Linked DNA regions of Caenorhabditis elegans. The protein of the gene in region 1 interacts with the protein of each later gene in a pairwise test. Each region holds a gene or a part of one and is shown in the gene's direction. Other genes may lie near its edges. The genes, in order: syx-16, pas-1, vps-45 and vps-52.

Evidence for each region.
Region 2: the proteins of syx-16 (region 1) and pas-1 interact in a two-hybrid assay, tested with the Caenorhabditis elegans proteins (3 studies listed by BioGRID).
Region 3: the proteins of syx-16 (region 1) and vps-45 interact in a two-hybrid assay, tested with the Caenorhabditis elegans proteins (one study listed by BioGRID).
Region 4: the proteins of syx-16 (region 1) and vps-52 interact in a two-hybrid assay, tested with the Caenorhabditis elegans proteins (one study listed by BioGRID).

What each region holds. Positions count from the first base shown.
Region 1 is NC_003281.10:5,207,032-5,211,046, reverse strand, and holds syx-16 (t-SNARE coiled-coil homology domain-containing protein), read left to right. Parts: upstream 1-1,937; 5' UTR 1,938-2,116; intron 2,117-2,163; coding exon 2,164-2,332; intron 2,333-2,461; coding exon 2,462-2,720; intron 2,721-2,770; coding exon 2,771-2,912; intron 2,913-2,959; coding exon 2,960-3,213; intron 3,214-3,258; coding exon 3,259-3,424; 3' UTR 3,425-3,480; downstream 3,481-4,015.
Region 2 is NC_003283.11:14,421,028-14,424,547, reverse strand, and holds pas-1 (Proteasome subunit alpha type-6), read left to right. Parts: upstream 1-1,929; coding exon 1,930-2,001; intron 2,002-2,050; coding exon 2,051-2,387; intron 2,388-2,445; coding exon 2,446-2,777; 3' UTR 2,778-2,982; downstream 2,983-3,520. Other genes in the region: rrsr-1 (Ribosome biogenesis regulatory protein homolog), read left to right, coding at 1-436, 490-652; rpoa-12 (DNA-directed RNA polymerase subunit), read left to right, coding at 1,250-1,376, 1,425-1,542, 1,604-1,718; dhs-22 (DeHydrogenases, Short chain), read left to right, coding at 3,121-3,209, 3,258-3,384, 3,508-3,520. UniProt on the Caenorhabditis elegans protein: The proteasome is a multicatalytic proteinase complex which is characterized by its ability to cleave peptides with Arg, Phe, Tyr, Leu, and Glu adjacent to the leaving group at neutral or slightly basic pH.
Region 3 is NC_003284.9:970,037-976,619, reverse strand, and holds vps-45 (Vacuolar protein sorting-associated protein 45), read left to right. Parts: upstream 1-1,771; 5' UTR 1,772-1,867; coding exon 1,868-1,960; intron 1,961-2,351; coding exon 2,352-2,550; intron 2,551-2,597; coding exon 2,598-2,662; intron 2,663-2,836; coding exon 2,837-3,012; intron 3,013-3,582; coding exon 3,583-4,078; intron 4,079-4,125; coding exon 4,126-4,215; intron 4,216-4,736; coding exon 4,737-4,829; intron 4,830-4,878; coding exon 4,879-4,985; intron 4,986-5,336; coding exon 5,337-5,459; intron 5,460-5,505; coding exon 5,506-5,655; intron 5,656-5,844; coding exon 5,845-5,896; 3' UTR 5,897-6,037; downstream 6,038-6,583. Other genes in the region: Protein abhd-3.2, read left to right, coding at 191-338, 387-453, 717-880; C44C1.6 (Neuropeptide-Like Protein), read left to right, coding at 6,479-6,581.
Region 4 is NC_003284.9:7,563,438-7,568,699, forward strand, and holds vps-52 (Vacuolar protein sorting-associated protein 52 homolog), read left to right. Parts: upstream 1-1,885; 5' UTR 1,886-1,893; coding exon 1,894-2,050; intron 2,051-2,092; coding exon 2,093-2,211; intron 2,212-2,273; coding exon 2,274-2,369; intron 2,370-2,411; coding exon 2,412-2,642; intron 2,643-2,696; coding exon 2,697-2,930; intron 2,931-2,980; coding exon 2,981-3,187; intron 3,188-3,237; coding exon 3,238-3,363; intron 3,364-3,472; coding exon 3,473-3,754; intron 3,755-3,802; coding exon 3,803-4,193; intron 4,194-4,240; coding exon 4,241-4,359; intron 4,360-4,411; coding exon 4,412-4,558; 3' UTR 4,559-4,708; downstream 4,709-5,262. Other genes in the region: sto-1 (Stomatin-1), read left to right, coding at 1-153, 205-279, 326-589, 663-781, 830-1,016; Apyrase apy-1, read right to left, coding at 4,831-4,944, 5,026-5,262. UniProt on the Caenorhabditis elegans protein: Acts as a component of the GARP complex that is involved in retrograde transport from early and late endosomes to the trans-Golgi network (TGN). The GARP complex facilitates tethering as well as SNARE complex assembly at the Golgi.

The sequences.
Region 1 (4,015 bases):
CCGCGCGCAAAACTTTTCAACTACAGTACCCTTCAACTACAGTATTACGGTGTGTGTTTTCTTTTCTTTTTTAATTTCAATACACTTTTTATTAACTCTTCAATAAAAATAGTTTGAAAACTAAAGGACAACGCTTAGTAATTTAATTTTTCAAATATTTGATGCCAATCTGTCGATATAAGATATTTGTAAAAATGTTTCTATTTTATTCGGTTATGTAACAGCTGTCTGACGAACTTTTTTGCGGCTAAAGGGTCACTTGTCGTCTTTGTGATTGATATATTTCACTTTGTTTCATATCATTCTCTCATGTGAACTAAACAATTATTTATGTTGGTAAGCAACTGTTTACCAGTGTGGCTAATAACCCTAATTTCGTTTTTACACTACTGTTTGAAAATTATGATCAGAAATTCGAGCATTTTCAATGTTGCAACAAAAAATTTTCAAAAAACGATCTGATAATTGGTCGTTGTTGAAGAACTTTTGGGTAAATATACAGTAACCTTGGTTTTCTAAGTCTCTCATTGTGATACAATCACTAAATGTCCACGTAATAGATGATTTATTTCTTTGTGTGCCTCCTCCACACATCTCGATGTAAAGTGTTCGATTATTGTAAAGCATTCTACTTTCTTGTGCACAATCATAAAATATATTATTCCTCCGTTAAAACACTTTTGTTCTTTTTTGAATTTTATTGTTTAAAATGTGATACGACAATTTAAAGGCGCATGCCGTTTTTTCTGCTCGTAGAATGTGTAAATTCACATTCTGAAATGCATGAAGATTGATCTGAGTCACCATAAAATGTAAAAAGTCACACATCTTTCAAGACTTAAAGTGCAATTTTTTCTTTTCCAATTTTGTAAAATATTTCCACTGAAAAGAAACAATGTGTTGTGATTATTTGCAGAATTTGCGAAAAAGAAAAGTTTAGAAATTCTGAAAAAACGTGCGTTGGACTTGCAAAAACTAAAATTTTTCTTGGCAATAAGTTCTTGTTTTTTACGAACACAGTGTACAATCTTACTATTTATTTTTTTCGAATTATTTCAGTTTTCAGCCGAACGTATTTTCTTTCTGAACAATGCCACTGGACACATCAGCATGAGCTACACCAACGGAATTGGCCATAGCGGTTTTTGACTTTACAGCATTAGCACCGGTCATTGAGCACGAATTGAAGATGAAAAATTCTTTAGATAAAATTTGAAACCTTATAATATTCTTCTAAAAGTACTATTCCTTTGCTTCCTGGTCTGATCGGTGCTTCAATCTCATACATACCTGCATATCTATTCACTAATCATTCTCACTTTGATCTTGTCATTGGGAGCTTTTCAGGTCCAAACGTTGCATACGTTTGAGTGTTTTATCAATTAAAAGCTAAAAACAGTCAAGTCTGATGTATCAATGCCAAAGGATGTTGTTTTCCACTGTTTTGAGAATCGAAAAAAAAAATTGTTTTCAAAATTTTCGACTTGCCTACATATTTTAGTTTTTATTTTCCAGACTGAGTTTTTCAGAAAGTTGTTAATTTTTTCATTTCTGTTGCTAATATTTTAAATTTAGAAATTTATTTTCAAAATTACAATCTACGATTTTTGCACAAAAATTCGGTGCCAAAAATCAGCACGACAAGTTTTCGTTAAATAAAAGAAGTGTGCACCTTTGAAGAGTACTGTAAATTTAAACTTTTGGTGTTGATTATCAATTTTCTAAATGTTTTGAAGAAAATTTAATTTTTTATTAAAAACTAAAGCGAAATAATATGAAAACACTTGAATTTGAACAACTCGAGAGAAATACTATGTATGAAAAATTTCAAACTACAGTAACCTTTAAAGGCGCACACCTTTTCGCATTTAATAAATATTATCGTGTCGAGACCGGGCGTCGTATTTTCGGAGCTGAAATCGCAAAATTTTGCGTTCAGGCTTTTCATAAAACAATAAATGTGGGTTGAATGATTCTTTCGCTCGCCGGCAACTTTTTTTCTTTCCATTTATCGCAGCCGATATGCAAGAAAATTCCAAAGTAAACACGCTCCATCGCACATTCCCCTTTTTCCTCTCCAAATTGATGTCGTTCGCTGGATAACGTCACTCTGGAAGTAAATTTGCAACGTTTTTATTCTAGCATTTTATTGATTTTTTCCAGATGGCTTCCTCTTCTGTTACCGCTGCTGCAAATGCTGCAAAGAAAAATGAAATTTACGGAACAACGAGAAATTTGACAGAAGTTTTTATGCTTTTACGTTCAAATGCTCATCAAAGTCGATTAATTTATAAAGATGATACAGATATAATTGTGAGGAGTCGTGGTGATGGTGAGTATTCTGAATTGGTTCAAATATTCATTAAATGACTTTTATTAAATAGGTTTTTCTAAAATCTCTTCTTTTCAAATGATCAAATTCTGTACTGCGAATTGCAGTCTGCAATAATGTATTTTTCAGAAGAACGAATGGCCTTAGTGGAACTTGAAGATGGGCGACAAGAATCCGATGAAGAGCCAGTTTGGATTCATACTGCTGATCAAGTAGAATTCGAAGTTGAAAGAGTTCAGAGAAGACTAGATGAACTTGGAGAGGCACAGAGAAAACACATTTCGCGACCTAATTTTGGAGATGAAGCATTCGAAAAAGAAGAGAAGCAAATGGAACAGACGACGGAGCAAATCACTCAAATGCTCACACATTGTCAAAGGCTAATCAGGTTTGTTATTTACAGACTCGGTTTGACTTAGGTAATTCAAAATTTTCCAGAATGATATCTGGAAGTCATAACAAAGAAAAACCTATGCAGCGAAAGTTAAGAGAAAATGCTGCTGCAACCCTGAGCCTAACACTTAGCCAAATTACCGATGAATTTAGAGGAAGACAACTGAAATATTTGAGTGATATCCAGGTAAGCGATTTGAAAAAGTTTCATTCAGCACATCAAAATTGTTTCAGAATCGTTCCCGTAACGTGGACAATTACCTTATCACAACAGATCCACTGATTGATGCTCCCAATTGGGCTGAGCTAGATGTGTCACCATCTACAGAAATATCAATGGCCCAGCTTCAACAATTTATGAATAACGATCGAGAAGTTCGAGAGCGCGAAAAGGAAGTGATGGCTGTGAACACATCAATTAGAGAATTAAATACACTCTTCCAGGATTTATCAGAAATGATTGTAGATCAAGGAAGCGTCATTGATAGGTAAAACGAAGCTTTAAGGTCAATTATAGTAAATTTTAATTTCAGAATAGACTATAATGTTGAACAGACCTCGATTCGTGTGTCGAAAGCAGTTGAAGATGTCTTCAAAGCGGAACGATATCAAAAAGGAAACAAAAAAATGCATTGTATTTGTATGCTCACTGTTGCCATTATTTTTGTACTGATTCTTATTATTGTTACTAAATTGTAATTCTTTTACTTCAGTAGTTTTATTTATATTTTTTGAATAAACCGGGTATTTTATTGATTTCTCTAGTTCAATCAATGAAATTCTAATTTTAGATTCCGGTTAGATTCCGTAATGCAGATATTTCCTTGTTTTATTCAAATTTAAAATTCTTCCACTACTTAATCTGTAATTAAAAATGTTCTCTATATAAAACTCGTGCACATCACTCTAGAGCAGGGATTCATTATGTTGCCGCATTTTCACTCGGATCATGTTACTCTTCGAATTCCTCTGATAATTTAGTCATTTTCTTCCGTCTAAATTCGTTTAAAATCAACTGATTAACGCCAAAGCCAATTTTTCTTTCTCTTTCCGCCAAAAGCCTTGAAATTGACTACCGTAACACTTGTCGCTTCGAGACCCAGGCCGCATTTCGGACCGCCCGCAGCACGCGTCGCGGAGCTTTTGGGCGAGATATTTCGAAAAATGTTGTTGTTGTGTTTTCCTTTCACGATTTTTTTCTTTTGGGCGCAAATAATGGCTTTTTAATACCGGATATATGCTGCATTGGCCTAAAGTGTTTCGAATGGCCCACAAAATTCCATTTGTCCT
Region 2 (3,520 bases), on another chromosome or scaffold:
AAATTCCTGACAACGCAGAAGATCCGAACAAGGATTTCTTTGCTGAGAGACGCGAAAAGAAGAAGGAGAGAGTTGCAAAGAACGATATGCAGAGAATGAAGAATCTTGCTCGTCAGATGAAGACAACAGTCAAGAGCGGTCCATCGACAGAAAAGATGATCGGAGTAGGAGTCGATGCCAAGGAAAAATCAAAGCAACAAGTTCGTTTCGCAGTGGATCGTGCAAAGCTTGCCACAGCTTCCGCTGGAAAGTTCCAGGAAGGATTGAAGGGAGAGAAGGCCAACGTGAAAACTGGCAAGAAGAGAAAGTTCGAAGCCAACGAAGCTCCAGTTTCTGGCGAGAAAGAACGTGCTCTCCAGATTCTTCAACGAATGAAGTCAAAGAAAGCAAAGATTGTTGAAGAAAAGGCTGCTGCAGTTGCTGGACCTTTGAGAGAGTGAGTAGTGAGAAAATTAGGCCTTTATCGTTATTCAATTCAATTAATTTCAGGAAGAAGGAAAAATCGGAGAGGAAAGGTGCTAAAGATCAAACAAGACAGAAGAGTCAGATTCACAGACAACAGTGGTTCAAAAACAAGGTCGACGGCAAGAAGAAGGGTACTGGTGGTGCTGGAAAGAAGGGAGCCAACAAGGCCAAAGCAAGAAAGGGATAATCTATGTTCTTGTTTTTTATTCAAATTTGTTGATTTTGATTCGTTTATTTTTTTTGTTACTTTCTTTTTTATTCATCAAATTTTAACATTCAATAAATAAATGTTCTGTTAAGTAGAAAATGTTACTTTTCTTCATGAAATGATGTTTTAGTTCTCGATTGTGAATTTACCTGGGATAGGTTATTTTATTAAATTTGTTCAGAGTTTTATATAATCCCAATTATTTTTCTCTGGCATGTTTTTTTTTTCTCTGAATGTAAGAAAGCCAACATTGATTCGCGATTTTCAAATCTATGAAATTAATAGGCGGAGTTTTCTTTGCCAGATCCAGCAACTCGGCCATCTTTCAAACCAAGATAAGTGATTTTAGATCATTTAACAATTTGCCTGTCAAGACTTAATATTTTCTCAACTAGTAAAGTGCTGTTCCCATTTACTCAGCAATCTGTTTCTTCGAAAGTCACAAATCGGTAGTGTCTCAATTTCCAAGCGTGCTCCATCGCACTCCCTTTAAATTTTGTCATCTTTTCGGCGTTCTCATCATTTTTCAACCTTCAACAATATATTTTAGTCGAAACTTCATTAATTCAGCTTAAAATGGCTTTGAACTTCCTCTCATACGACGATGACTTTTGTGGATATTGCGGCGCCATCTTGGAACTACCGGCACAGGCTCCAGCGACGGTCTCCTGCAAAGTATGCTCAACTCGATGGGCTGTGAAAGGTTTCCTGCTTTTAAGATGAATATATTCTAATTTTAAAATGTTTTCAGAAAGAGTAGATCAAGTGGTTAGCCGTGTCGAAAAGATCTACGAACGAACGGTTGCTGATACAGATGGAATTGAAAATGACGAGTCAGCGGATGCTGTTGTTGATCATATTTGCACAAAGTAAGAATATTTCCGGGGATTTTGAAACTGAGAAAGACTGAAACTAATTTCCAACTTTAAGGTGCGGTCACTCAAAGGCATCATATTCTACTATGCAAACGAGATCTGCAGATGAAGGACAAACAGTATTCTATACATGCCTGAAATGCAAGAAGAAGGATATCGAATATTCTTGATAACCTTTCGAGTCTTTATTTTTCAAATCAGATTTTTATTTCTGTTGTTATATATTGTTGAATTTTTGTTTTTGTTTCCTGAATATTCCATTAAGTTTCTTTTTATTCGTTTTTTTTTTCATTTTATTGGTACACTGGTCAATAACCAGATTTCCTATCTTTATCGGTTTTCAAATTAATGGTTGATTTCCACTTTAAAATTTATGTTTAGATGTCTCGTGGAAGCAGCGCCGGATTCGATCGTCATATTACCATCTTCTCTCCAGAAGGACGTGTTTATCAGGTTATAAAATAATAGTTGAATGTTTATAACTTTCCATGCTTGCTTCCAGGTCGAGTATGCCTTCAAAGCAATCAACTCTACCAATCTGACGGCTGTCGCAGTCAAGGGAGCTGATGCAGCTGTCATTGCCGTTCAAAAGCGTGTTCCAGACAGTCTCATCGTCGCTGATACCGTCACTTCGGTTTATCAAATCTCTCAGTCTGTTGGATGCTGCGCCATTGGAATGATCCCGGATGCTAAATTCCAAATCAAGCGTGCACAGGGAGAAGCTGCTAGCTGGAAGTACAAGAACGGCTACGATATGCCATGCGAGCTTCTCGCCAAAAAGATGGCTGATCTCAACCAGTATTACACACAAAATGCGGAGATGCGTAGTTTGGGATGTGGTTAGTAGAAAAATTTCCGAATTCTCTAACTTCAATTATTACAATTACTCAATTTCAGCTCTTTTGTTCATTTCCTACGATGACGAGAAAGGACCAGAAGTTTATCGTGTTGACCCCGCTGGATACTACCGTGGTATGAAAGGAGTATCTGTTGGAGTGAAACAACTTCCAGCGACCTCATTCTTGGAAAAGAAAATTAAGAAGAAGTCCGAATTGACATCCACAGAAGCTATTGAACTCGCCATTGAGGCTCTTCAGACTTCATTGGGAATCGACGTTCGTTCCAAGGATCTTGAGGTTGTCGTTGTCACCAAGGATAACTCCAAATTCACCAAGCTAACCAGCGATCAGGTCGAACATCATCTCAATCAAATCGCCAACCGAGATTAAATATTCATCGACCTTTGTATTTAAATATTTCCCGTTTCAATTGATCCGGTACCCAAATTGAATTAAATACCTGGTTTCCCTTTTCTAAATTTATTTATTGTTTTCTTTACTCCCTGTTTCTCGGTCTTTTTTATCATTGCCCTCCGCCCCTTTCTCTTTTGAAACTATTTATTTATCACTAAAAATCATGATAAAATGATTTTTGAAACACTTCATATTATTCATGTTGACTTTGATGGTGGTTTCGCAATCCCTGTTATTTATTTTTTAGTACGAATTCATTGAAGAAAACTGCAAGTTAAAAAAATTATACATTCAAAGTTTTAACAGACCATCTATTAAAATGGATGGTGCAGATGCTGAAGAACATGGAGGATTCCTCTTTTTTGTGCTCGCTTCATCCGTAGTTTTTATTGTGCTCTTTTTCACAAGGTAATCGATATTTCACGATAGCTAAAACTATAATCTAAAATATTTCAGACGTTACTTTAAAGGAGGTCAATTCAATGAAAGAGTCTCTGCAAAGGGATTAGTAGCCGTTGTGACCGGTTCTAATTGTGGAATTGGATTCGAGACAGTTCGGGAACTTAATTTGAGGAAAGCTGATGTGAGTTACAGAACTAATTGCATTGTTATAATTAATTGCTAATTACTAATTACATAAATTGCATTTGTTTCTAAACAATGCTATCCATATTTAAGTTATCAAGAATAATCTAATTTTTTCCAGGTCTATATGCTGT
Region 3 (6,583 bases), on another chromosome or scaffold:
ATTGGCATTGAGAAAATTTGAGGAGACATGAGCAGGCCCTGTGCTCAAAGAGCTGGCAAGCTTCTCATTAAGTGATTGGTTTTTGCGCGTTAATTTGAAGCAATTCCTTTACGCCCAAATTTTTAGTATTTCCTGCTAAGCTATTAATGAACCAAACCCCTGAGTTCATAAGTAGCTCCCACAATTCCAGGTACCGCGAGCTATTCAAAGATATGGTGGATTTTGACGAAGTGTGCAGATGCAATACGGTTAGAGGGTTTGATCGATCTTTTGTGATTCCCATGTATGGGTTCAAGAGTTGCGATGACTATTACAGACAGGCTACTTTGGCGACAAAGGTAACATTTGAAACTTGGTTTGTAAAAATTTGAAAAATCAATTTCCAGGTAGACAAAATCAAGATTCCATGTGTAACACTGAATTCTGTTGATGATTATTTCAGCCCGGTGGAATGTAAGTTTTGGTTTGAACAGCTTTGAAAACTAATGTTCATATACAAACATGAGTGCTTGCTACGTTTCTCTAGTTCATAATTAGACGTGTTTGCTCTACGGTAATAACAGCAACCGACACATTGCGGGTTGCAAAAAATTATAAAACGTGTGGAATTTTTATGAAATATATATTAAATATGTAATTGAAAAGCTAGTTTTCTAATTACATTTTTTAAACAAAATACCAAATTTAATAATTATTCATACATTTCCCCTATTTAGGCATCCCTACATTAGATATAATGGAGAGCGACTACGTTTGCGGTATTATCACCAATCACGGAGGACATACTGCTTTCATGGAGTCTGCTGATCCAAATGCGCGCGGAATGGTGGAAAAGTTGCTCTCGCAATGGGGAAATATGATCTTCCATGATTATTCATGAGCTTTGATGGATTGTGCAATGTTTTCAAATTATACGTATTATTTTTGTATTATTAGGACTATTACACTTTTTGAACAATATCAGGTTTTTCAGTACATCCCGGTTTTTTATTATTATTGTGATTTTAATTTAATTTTTTAAATGTGCAAAGAGTTAATGGTTGCAGATATGACTAGATGAAACTCTTTTTTTGTCAAATAAAAACTTCAAACACGAATTGAAAATAGTGTAAAATTAATATTTGGCTGCAGTTTCATGTGAACGAAAAATTGTGTTATGTCCTTCAAATTAGAACCAGCCACCTTGCATTGAATAGTCATAAATCTGTGAAGTTTGCGTTAAGCTGGAGCTTTGGTAAAACCCTACCATAAGTACAGGGAACAATTTTGAAAAGCTCTGATACGAGTTAATTATTTTAGTACCAGCCGTGGACCGCACCTACGGCGCGGCCCCCGACTTTTTTGAGAAAACACATTAGATATACGGTGTCTATCGCGGACCTCGATCGATGTCTGCTGCGCATTTAGCATAAGGTTTCCCAAAATTTCGTTGCTCTGATCGGAGATCAAACTACATAGGGACAGAAGGACACGCGCTTTATATATAGTAAATGATAATTGTTGTCCTAGTACATCACGCATACGGATAATAATTCTTATACATATTTCATAGACTTTTGTTCAGGACCAAGTTAGTATAATGAAAAATTGGAGAAGATTCAGTTTTCTTCAGATTTTCTCCGACAGAATGCAAATTCTCCTGCTCTACTTCTGCTCCACTTTTCCACTTTTTCCATCTTTCCTCACTCTCCACAGCCTTCCTCCGTCTACGTCTCCACTAGCCTAGCCATCTCTCAAAATCGATGCTGGCACTGGACACTCACCCGACGCGGTGACAGAGACGGCCGCGGCCTAGAGTTCTCCATTTCTTTTCTTTTACCATATGTTTTTATACACGTTGGCCACTAGCTCTTTCTACTAATCAACCATGGATCTCGTGCAGTCAAGCCGAAAATTGATACAGGACATGATCCAACTTGCCGGCTCGCAGATGAAATTACTACTTATGGATGGGGAAACAGTGAGTTGATTTGAAAGTGTAAAAATGTAATTATTCGGTTAGGAAAAATAATTAAAACTTGTGTCAAAAAGTTATACTAAAACGTAAATTAACAACACGTTTTGCAAATTTTTCAGTAACATTTATGTCTATTTTTGAATTACTTAATCTAACAAAATAATAAATAATAAATATAATAAACACTTAAAATATAGAGGAAATCCAAAAATGAGCAAAACGTATTGTATATTCACAATAGCCTAAATGTTTATTATGAATTTATATCAGCTATAGATTTTTAATAAAGTTAATGCTTAGATTAGTATGAAAAATCATATAAACATACAATTTTAAATGATGAGTAGTTTTTTCACACGTTTTCAAATAAAATCAACGCTAAATTTTTTTCCAGACTCCAACAGTGTCATGCGCATTTGCGCAGTCGGAGGTGATGCAAAAAGAAGTTTATATATTCGATAGAATTGAGAACAAGACCTCATCTGAAAACATCAAAAACTTGAAATGCGTGGTATTCGTCCGGCCGACACCCAAAAATATTGAGCGACTGGTGAAAGAGCTCCAGGAGCCAAGATTCAGCCAGTACTATCTTTGTGAGTTTACAGAAAAAATACTAGTTTTCAATGAATATGCTTTTCAGATTTTACAAACACAATCAACAAATATGATGTGAAGCGGCTGGCTGAAGCAGACAAAAATGAGACTGTAAGTAGTACTTTTTATTATGGACAGAACTAATTTTCAAGCTGCGTGATTAAATTATGAGAATCAGAAAAAGATTTATTGCTTTCCGACAATAACTTAACGATGCAAAAAACTTTTAAGCAATACTAATACGCTATAGGATATGTCAATAGTGTATTTTTCAACAAATTCCAGGTGCGTGAGGTTCAAGAAGTGTTTCTAGATGGAGTTCCTATTCGTAAAGACTTGTTCACTCTCAACTTGACACACATCTTCGACTCATCATTCACGTTGAAAGAAGAAGCCGCTGAAAGGATCAAGTGCGGAATTATTGCGCTATTGTTGCAGTTGAAAAAGGCTCCAGCTGTTCGGTGAGAGTTTTGAAATTTCTAATTTGAAAATTGGTAAAGGATTGCGGACATTGACCTTTTTTTTGAAATTTTGGTTATTTATTAGTCATGTTCATGCTTTTTTATAAAGGTATCTCAATTTAGAGAGTGTTCGCAGCTTTTAATTCTAAAGATTGATTCAATTTCTCTAAAACTGATCCCTAAAATATACGATTGAGAAAAAAAATTCATTCGTTTGTTTTTGTCTTTGGTCTACAAGTAGTATCCAATTGCGTGACTGCTTTTGTTTTTCGTCTTGTACCCAATTTCCTTGTTCTAAACAAAAAGAAGTCTTTACCCCAACAATACGATTGTATGATAAATTAATTTGCACATATACATACATATCATAACTATCGCGCAGCTGAAAATTGGCACTACATCGCTTGAGCAGAAGTGTGCTGCAATCAGAAATTTTTGGCAATGCTTGTAATTGTTAGACATAACACGCTGTAGTTTTGTTTTTATTGTAATCTGGGAGCTGCTACATGCGAAAAACTGTATGCAATTGTCACTACTTTGTTGCATACTTTTACAATGTTTTTTTTTCAGATACCAAAAGTCTTCACCGAGTTGCAAAAAAGTGGCCGATGATGTAGCACAATTCATTCGCCGGGAAAACGGGCTTTTCGAAAACTCTAGAGCTGACACCACTCTTCTGATTATTGAAAGATCCCAGGACGCGGTGACTCCTCTGCTCAACCAATGGACGTATGAAGCGATGATCCATGAAATGCTCACATTGACAAATAACAGATGCACATGTACTGATCAGAACATTGTGCTCAGCGAGCTTCACGATGAATTTTTTGCGAGAAATATTACTGCCAACTTTGGAGAAATCGGGCAAAATATCAAGACGTTGATCAGCGAGTTTCAGGAGAAAAAGCATATTAACAAGAATTTGGAGTCGATTCAGGATATGAAAAAGTTTGTGGAAGACTATCCACAGTTTAAGAAGATCAGTGGAACAGTGTCGAAACACGTCAGCCTTGTAGGCGAACTTAGTAATCTTGTTCAGAAGCATAATTTATTAGGAGTCTCAGAGGTAATACAGTTTAAAAAAACGTGTCAAAACGTAGAAAGTGGTTTCAGGTAGAGCAGGCAATTGTGTCAGATGGGGATCATGGCAAATGTATCAATCTTGTTCGAGGACTGCTGAAAAATACGAAAACCAGAGAAGTGGTGAGTAACAGTAACATACACCGCAAAAAAATCCGGAATGAACATTTTTAGATTCTGAATGCCAAAACAAACACGAGAAAATACTGAGATTTGTTATCGCAAATGACCAATTACCGTATTTCCTTTATTAGTCTTGCATGCAAAACTAATTTTCAATTGGTCCGTAGGGGTGCAAGACTAATAGAGGCTGCAAGACTAATAGATGAAATACGGTATATATTTTCGCCAACGTGGTGCTCAGGAAAGGATTTTGTTTCCTGTATCCTATAATTTTAAGTAAATTCATTAGCTACTTTAAAATTAGATACTACAGCTTCAACAAACTAGGAAAAATAGCTGGTCATTTAGTCAGTGCAAACATAAGTTTGGTCAGTGCATACGCAAATTTTTTTTTTCAAGGCACACAACACTGAAGTGTGTGCTATATTTTTAAAAAATTTATTTTGTTAAATGATACATAGAAGTATATAATTATATTTTTAATTGAATTTAGTTATCACGATCAGTACACCCATTTTCAGGACATCATCCGTCTTGTGCTTCTCTACGCTCTTCGTTTCGAAAACGCACCCGGCAACGAATTAAACTCATTGATCAGTCAACTCAGACCACAGGTAGGCAACTGGTGTATTCTGGGTTTAAAAAAATTTCATGCTTTTTCAGCATCCAAAAATCCATCAAACGGTGTCGACGCTGCTCAAATATGGTGGACTTTCAAGGAGACCTGCCGATTTGTTTGGTGGTGAATCGACTATTGACATTACGAAGAGGTGAGCAACAGTGAATCAGCGTAATCAAATATTTGGGCTGAAATCTGGGCTTAGTTTCGGTTGATTTGGCGGCTTCAGCAATTTCTGATTTGGTTCAATTTTATCCGTTACTAGTTGTCTAAATCAGAATTTCGAATTAATTTTTGTCTACAGTAAGCAAATTTAGCGATTAAAAACTGCTTTATTTATAAAAGAATTACAAATGAGTTTTGCAACAAAAAATATTAATTCATTTGACCAGAAATTTATTGACACCTCTAATAATTTGACAAAACTGACTGAACATTAGTAGCACTAAAGAAAGACTCAAGATTTACAAAAGGTACATGGTATTCTACCTATAATTTTCAGGTTCATCAAAGGACTCAAAGGAGTTGAGAACATTTACACCCAGCATTCGCCGTATCTCAAGAACATGATCGAGTCTTGCCAGCGTGGGAGGCTTGACAACTACCCGCTTCTTAGCAATGAATGGTAAGTTCTAGATCTACTATAATGCTTCAAGCTACTCAATTTTCAGCGACCGAATGGATAATATTATTGTGTTTATTGTGGGTGGAGCCACATATGAGGAGGCGGCTTATGTGAGAAGCTTGAATGAAAAGCGGATGCAAGGATACGGAGGGCCTGCTGTTGTTCTAGCTGGGAGTAGCATGCTAAATACAAAATCGTGAGTATACAGGCTTTAAAATGAAACCACGTCCCCGGTAAAAAATGTTTTGGCTAAGCGGGCAGACATTAAGCAGTAATTCTGTCGTTTTTCGATTAATGGGTATACTTAATGCTATAATACTAATTTCAATTGGCTATTGCATTTGTTATGGTTCTGTAGTGAATGGAAAATAAGTTAAATTTACAGATTCCTCGAAGAGTTTGCCAACGTCGACAAAAATACGGGAGCTGTTCACTGAATATCTCAAAAGTTTCAAAACTTCTCGCAGAGTCTATTTATTGATTTAATTGAATTGTCATCTTTTCTTGTGATATATTGAGCTTCTTTATGAAATTGCTTTTTTTAAAATGAATATGTACTGTGTACAGTGCCACCACTAACGGTCTCCCTATTGGCTCAGCCGCTGTTAAGCCGTGGAGAGGCCTACCGCTTGGCTTTTGAGTAAGTTGAAGCATGTTTGGAAGCTTTTTGATCAACCGAATTTACCAGAGGCATTTACAAAGAAACACTTTTTCAAAAATATTTCCTATACGTGAATTTATCATTTCAAAACCGTGTCGTTTTGAAAACCCAAACACACCCAAAAATAGTGTGTGTCCTTTGCCAATAGTGAATAACAGATATATGCGCTAATTTGCTAACCAAACTGGCGCCGTTTCGTTTATACTGTCAGTGAATTGTAGTGTTAGGTGGTGCGTGACTGGCTGACCAAGACAACAAAAATTCTTGATATCATTCGTCAAGAGAAACAAAACCTTAAAGCGAAACACCTTCGAAAAACCTTTTTAGTGTGATTTATCACTTGACTTCAACTTGAACAATGGACTACTACTTCAAACTTATCTCTGTAGTTTTTATCGTAATTTTGGCTATCCAATCGCAGGCTTTTCCCATTGAAGAGACTTCGCTAGGAAGTATTAATGGT
Region 4 (5,262 bases), on another chromosome or scaffold:
ATTGTTCAGGAATACCAACGTGCTGTAGTTTTCCGTTTGGGACGTCTTGTTCCTGACGTCAAAGGTCCCGGAATCTTCTTCATCATACCTTGTATTGATACTTTCTTGAATATCGATCTGCGTGTGGCATCGTACAATGTCCCTTCACAAGAGGTATGTTGCGCAACACACCTGCTCACTGTGATATAATCTTTCTCTCTTCAGATTCTGTCTCGCGATTCGGTTACCGTTTCTGTTGACGCAGTTGTCTACTTCAAGGTGTTTGACCCAATCACTTCGGTAAACTAAACAGCTGGTACGGTTCAATCTAATTTGGAATTTTTAGGTCGTCGGAGTTGGCAATGCGACCGACTCTACCAAACTTTTGGCTCAAACCACCCTCCGTACAATTCTCGGTACCCATACCCTTTCAGAAATTCTATCCGACCGTGAGAAAATCTCCGCCGACATGAAAATCTCGCTCGATGAAGCTACAGAGCCATGGGGAATCAAGGTTGAACGTGTCGAGCTTCGCGATGTCCGTCTTCCATCTCAAATGCAACGTGCTATGGCTGCTGAAGCCGAGGCTACTCGTGATGCTGGAGCAAAGGTGAGCCGACATGATGAGCATAGCAAAATGCGGGGGACCAATAATTATTAATTTCGATTGCAATTAATTTCAGATTATCGCTGCCGAAGGAGAATTAAGAGCATCTGCCGCTCTTGCTGAAGCCGCCACCATCATTTCAAAAAGCGAGGGAGCCATGCAGCTTCGATATCTGCACACACTCAATGCTATCAGGTAATGGAAGCGCACTATCAACTTTTAACTAACAAAATAAAATTTCAGTTCCGAGAAAACCAGCACAATCATCTTCCCGTTCCCAATGGAGATTCTCGGAGGAATCAGCAAGGTTGGTTCAGGAGGCACATCTCAGAACTTTCCAGTTCAAGAAATGATGAATGCCGCCCTTCAATCCATTCAACGTCAGGATACAGTTCCAGCCACCGCATCTTCCTCAGGAAGCCGACTCTGATTCCAAGCAACGCAAAATGAGCTACAGTTTCGTCAAAAAACAAAACAAGGATCAACTCGAAGCATATTGATAATCTCTTTCCTGTTTGAAGTATTTTTTTTTAACTATTAAACTGTATTATTCAACTGTATAACACTTAATATTTATACTCGATTTCCACCTCATTCACTTCCAAATTGCACATATCGGTTGTCAAGGCATATCTTTGAGAGGTTGTCTGAAAGACTTCCGATTTTGCTCCAAATTTTTTCAGTCATTTTTCTCATCATAATAATAATATATATATGATTCTCCACGTTCCATTGTATTTTTCAAGTGTATTTTTCCAAGAAAATGAAGGAAGCCATATAGTTTAGAAATTTGTCTAATTTTTTGTAAAACGGGAAATATTTGAATCGAAGGATTCAAAAAGTTTTGAGAAATTTTTTATTTCGAGCCTAATGCGCTGAAAACTAGGTTTTCACCAATTATTATGAAAGTCTTTGATCAGAAAAATTCATATTTTCACTTATTTTTTCACTAAACAAAAATCCAAATTTCAATATTGTTGGGGTTTGAAGATTTAATAGTGTTTTAGATTTCTCGTAGCGAATTGTCAAAAATATACCAAATAGATAAATTAAATTCTCTATAAAAATTCAAAAATCCACACATTCTCATTTTTCCAATTGTTCTGCATAACCTCCTTGGCGAGCATTTTCCTCGCCTTCCTCGCACACAAGCACACCATTATTCTAAACACCGCGCGGGGTGTAAAAAGCGGAGCATCGTTTAACGACGTGTTACCAATTGTTTTTTCTTTGGTTTATCGCTATTTTTTATTTATTAACGTTAGTTATTCATCAAAATTTTTATTGAAACAATTTCAGCACAAATAATGCCTCGAACACGTGTCAACTTGCAAAAATCCGAGGCAAATGACCGTAGTTTCACAATATCGTCGCTAGAATTTTGTTTATCGCAATTGCGAAAAGCAGATCCGAATTTGGTGAAAAAAGCAATTGCTTCTGGTGACGGACTAACCGAGTCGAAAAGTATGTCTCTAAATGTCAACATTTGAAAAATCAATAATTCAGACGACGTCAGCACGCGGCTATCGGAGGCACATCGTTATTCTGTTCAACAGTGTCTTGATAACTCTGAGCAGTTGGCTCAACTCCATAATCAACTTGTGCATTGTGATAATGTTTTTGAAGTAAGTATATTGTAAAAATTGCCAATATATAAATCAGTCGACTATTTAATTAAACTTTTTAGCGCTTGCAAGCAACATTGTACAGTTTTCAAGACAATCTAGGATCAATTGGGCAGGATATGAAAAATTTGCAGCTACAGTCGCATCATATTCATCAAGTAAATTAATTTTCCAATTTCAACGTACTATAATCTTCTCAGGAACTGGAAAACCGGCAAAAAGTTAGAGTCGAGCTGAGCCAATTTGTAGACGATATTGCTGTTTCTCAAACGATGATGAAAACTATCAACGACACTGATGCAAATGACAGGGGTTTTTTGGAAGCGCTCCACGAGTTACACCACAAAATAACCTTAATTTTGCAAAGGGGAAATGGAGATGCGGTAGCGGTAAACGACACTATGCCGATTTTGGAAGGACTAAAGCTTAAGGTTGGGTGTTTTTTTTTTTACAAAAGTTTACATTTCAAAAATGTTTTTTTTCAGGCGGTTGTAAAAGTGAGGGAATGGTTGCTTCAGAAAATGTTCCAATTCCGTAAACCTCTGTCCAACTACCAAGTTTTTCAACACCAGCTTCTCAAATGCCGATTTTTCTACGAATTCCTGTTGCACCATGACTTGATCTCTGCCAAGGAACTTCAAGACGAGTACATTGACACCATCAGCAAGATGTTCTTCACGTATTTCAAAGCATACGCCACACGCCTGTTCAAACTTGCGGTAGGTTGAGACACATTTTTCAAGTATATTCACCAGAGTAATTATTTAAGATGAAAGACGTGGCCACCAAAGAAGACGCTTTGGGAAGTATTGATTTTGCAAAACCCGCTGGATTAGGCGCAATTTTCTCGTCGAAACAACACGTTGTTCGGAATAAGGCAACCGTTTTTTCGATTGGGCAACGACATCAAATTCTCTCTGACGACTTTTTAGGAGCCTTGATTGTTCCCCACGCAGCTACGCAGAACCATCAATCGGTATACCTTACAATAGAACTGGTAGGGACCAAATTAAATTATATTTTCAGTATCAATTTGAAGCACTATTTCGTTCTATTCAACTGGCATTTGTCGATCACTACAGCCATGAGTACCTCTTTATTACCGACTTTTTCCTTGTCAGCAATGATGAAGCCATTGAACTGCATAACAAGGTATGTTACGAGGACCTGGAAAGACCTAATATCTATTACGTAGTAATGTTACATTTACAATAGTTGTTTGCCTTTTCACTACCGGAAAAAAGCTTATAATTGCTTTCAGGCTATGGCTCGAGCAATGTCAGTTGTGCTCAAAAGCTGCGAGGAGCAAATCGCCCTTAGTTGGGACGCCATCAGTCTTCATCTGTGCATTTGTCTATGTGACAAGTTTACCGAAGTGCTCGCCGAGAGAGAGGTACCAGAAGTTAGCGATTATTGGAATACTGTCACAAGCTTCCTTTGGACCCGCCTCAATTTGGTCATGTCTCAACACTACGAAAGTGTCAAATCTGTTGATTTGAAGAAGTTGATGCATAGCGGTTCACTTGATGCAAGACCGCATTTCGTAAGTTTTTGATTGTTTTTTATAATCAAAAAAATTCAGATGTTACAGATAGTCCGACGGTACGCCGAACTGACAAGTGCACATTTGATGATAGCAAAAGCAAGTGGAAAGGAAATGGGTGCAAAGATGGAAGCTGTCTTGGAGAACAGTGAAGACTCTATTGAACAACTATTGACTCGAATGTCAGCTATGCAGCAAACTCAGAAAAATAAGCACGTCTTTCTGATTAACAATTACGATCTTATTCTTTCGATTATCGATAACGAGGAAAGCAAGCATACAAAGATTTATGCAATTGTCCATGAGCTTGAACAAAAAAGTATTGATGATTTTGTTGAAGAGATGCTAGAGCCACATATTGGGTACATGATTAAATTTGTCAACGAGTGTGAATCTCTGATTGTTCAAGGTCATACACAACTCTTAGTTCGATATAATGGCAAGTTGTCATATATAATTTTCTATTCTCTAATATTTTAATTTCAGACAAAGTTGGAACGGTGGTAGCAAACTTCAATGCAAAGTGGAGACCTGCAGTGGACAGTATTAATTCAGAATGCATACAACTTTTCACTAACTTCAGCCTGGGAACCACCATTTTACAGGTTAAAATTTATTTCCTAGAGCCGAATTTCAGTTTTAACTAGATGATTTCAGACAATCTTCACAAAGTACGTTCAGTATATCAATAGATTCACAAAGATTCTGTCCCATGACGTATTTGCTAAAAATCCCGTGTGTTCCCAGTTAGTCAACGTTCATCAAGTGATGCTCGAAATCAAACGGTTCAAACCAGCATATTAAGAAAAATATTGCCAATGTTATTTTATTTTCCCGTGTAGACTTTGTAAATTAAATAATTTATTGATTCCCACTTACTTGAGTATTTTTTTATATATATTTTTACCCACTGGCAGCTTTATGCATGCAAAAAATGTTGAATAAAATGTTTATATATTTATTTTATTTAAATAACCATTACATAGTATTTGACAAAAATCACATAATATCGAGAACACAGATTTGGACCTGACTGGAAGGTGGGAATTGAGACAAAAATACATTAATTGAAGTGATTAGGCAAATGCAATTCCTTCGTATTTGTATGGACCATGAAGAAGATATTCGTCAAGAATAACATTACCATGAATGTCGAAAACACTTGCATAACTTGCTACTGGTTTTCCATCCTGGAATACAATTTTATAAACCGAGCATTGAGATTAACGGATTTTGTTTTTAAAATTGTGTAGATAAAACCTGTTACTTACCTTTTCCTCCGACTTGATGGCAACGATGAGCTGGTGATGAGTGTTTGGCACAAATTGGAAAGCAGCAAACCCTCTGGATTTGTTATTCTCCGATCCTACTCGCACAACCTCAAAATCAGTCAACTCTTCATTTCCAATCACAAGAACGTTTGTTCCGCGGTTCTCGTCCTCCGCCTCAGAATACTTCTCATTTGACATTCTACGTGGAAGGAAGAACCATTTTCTGTGAATTGCAGA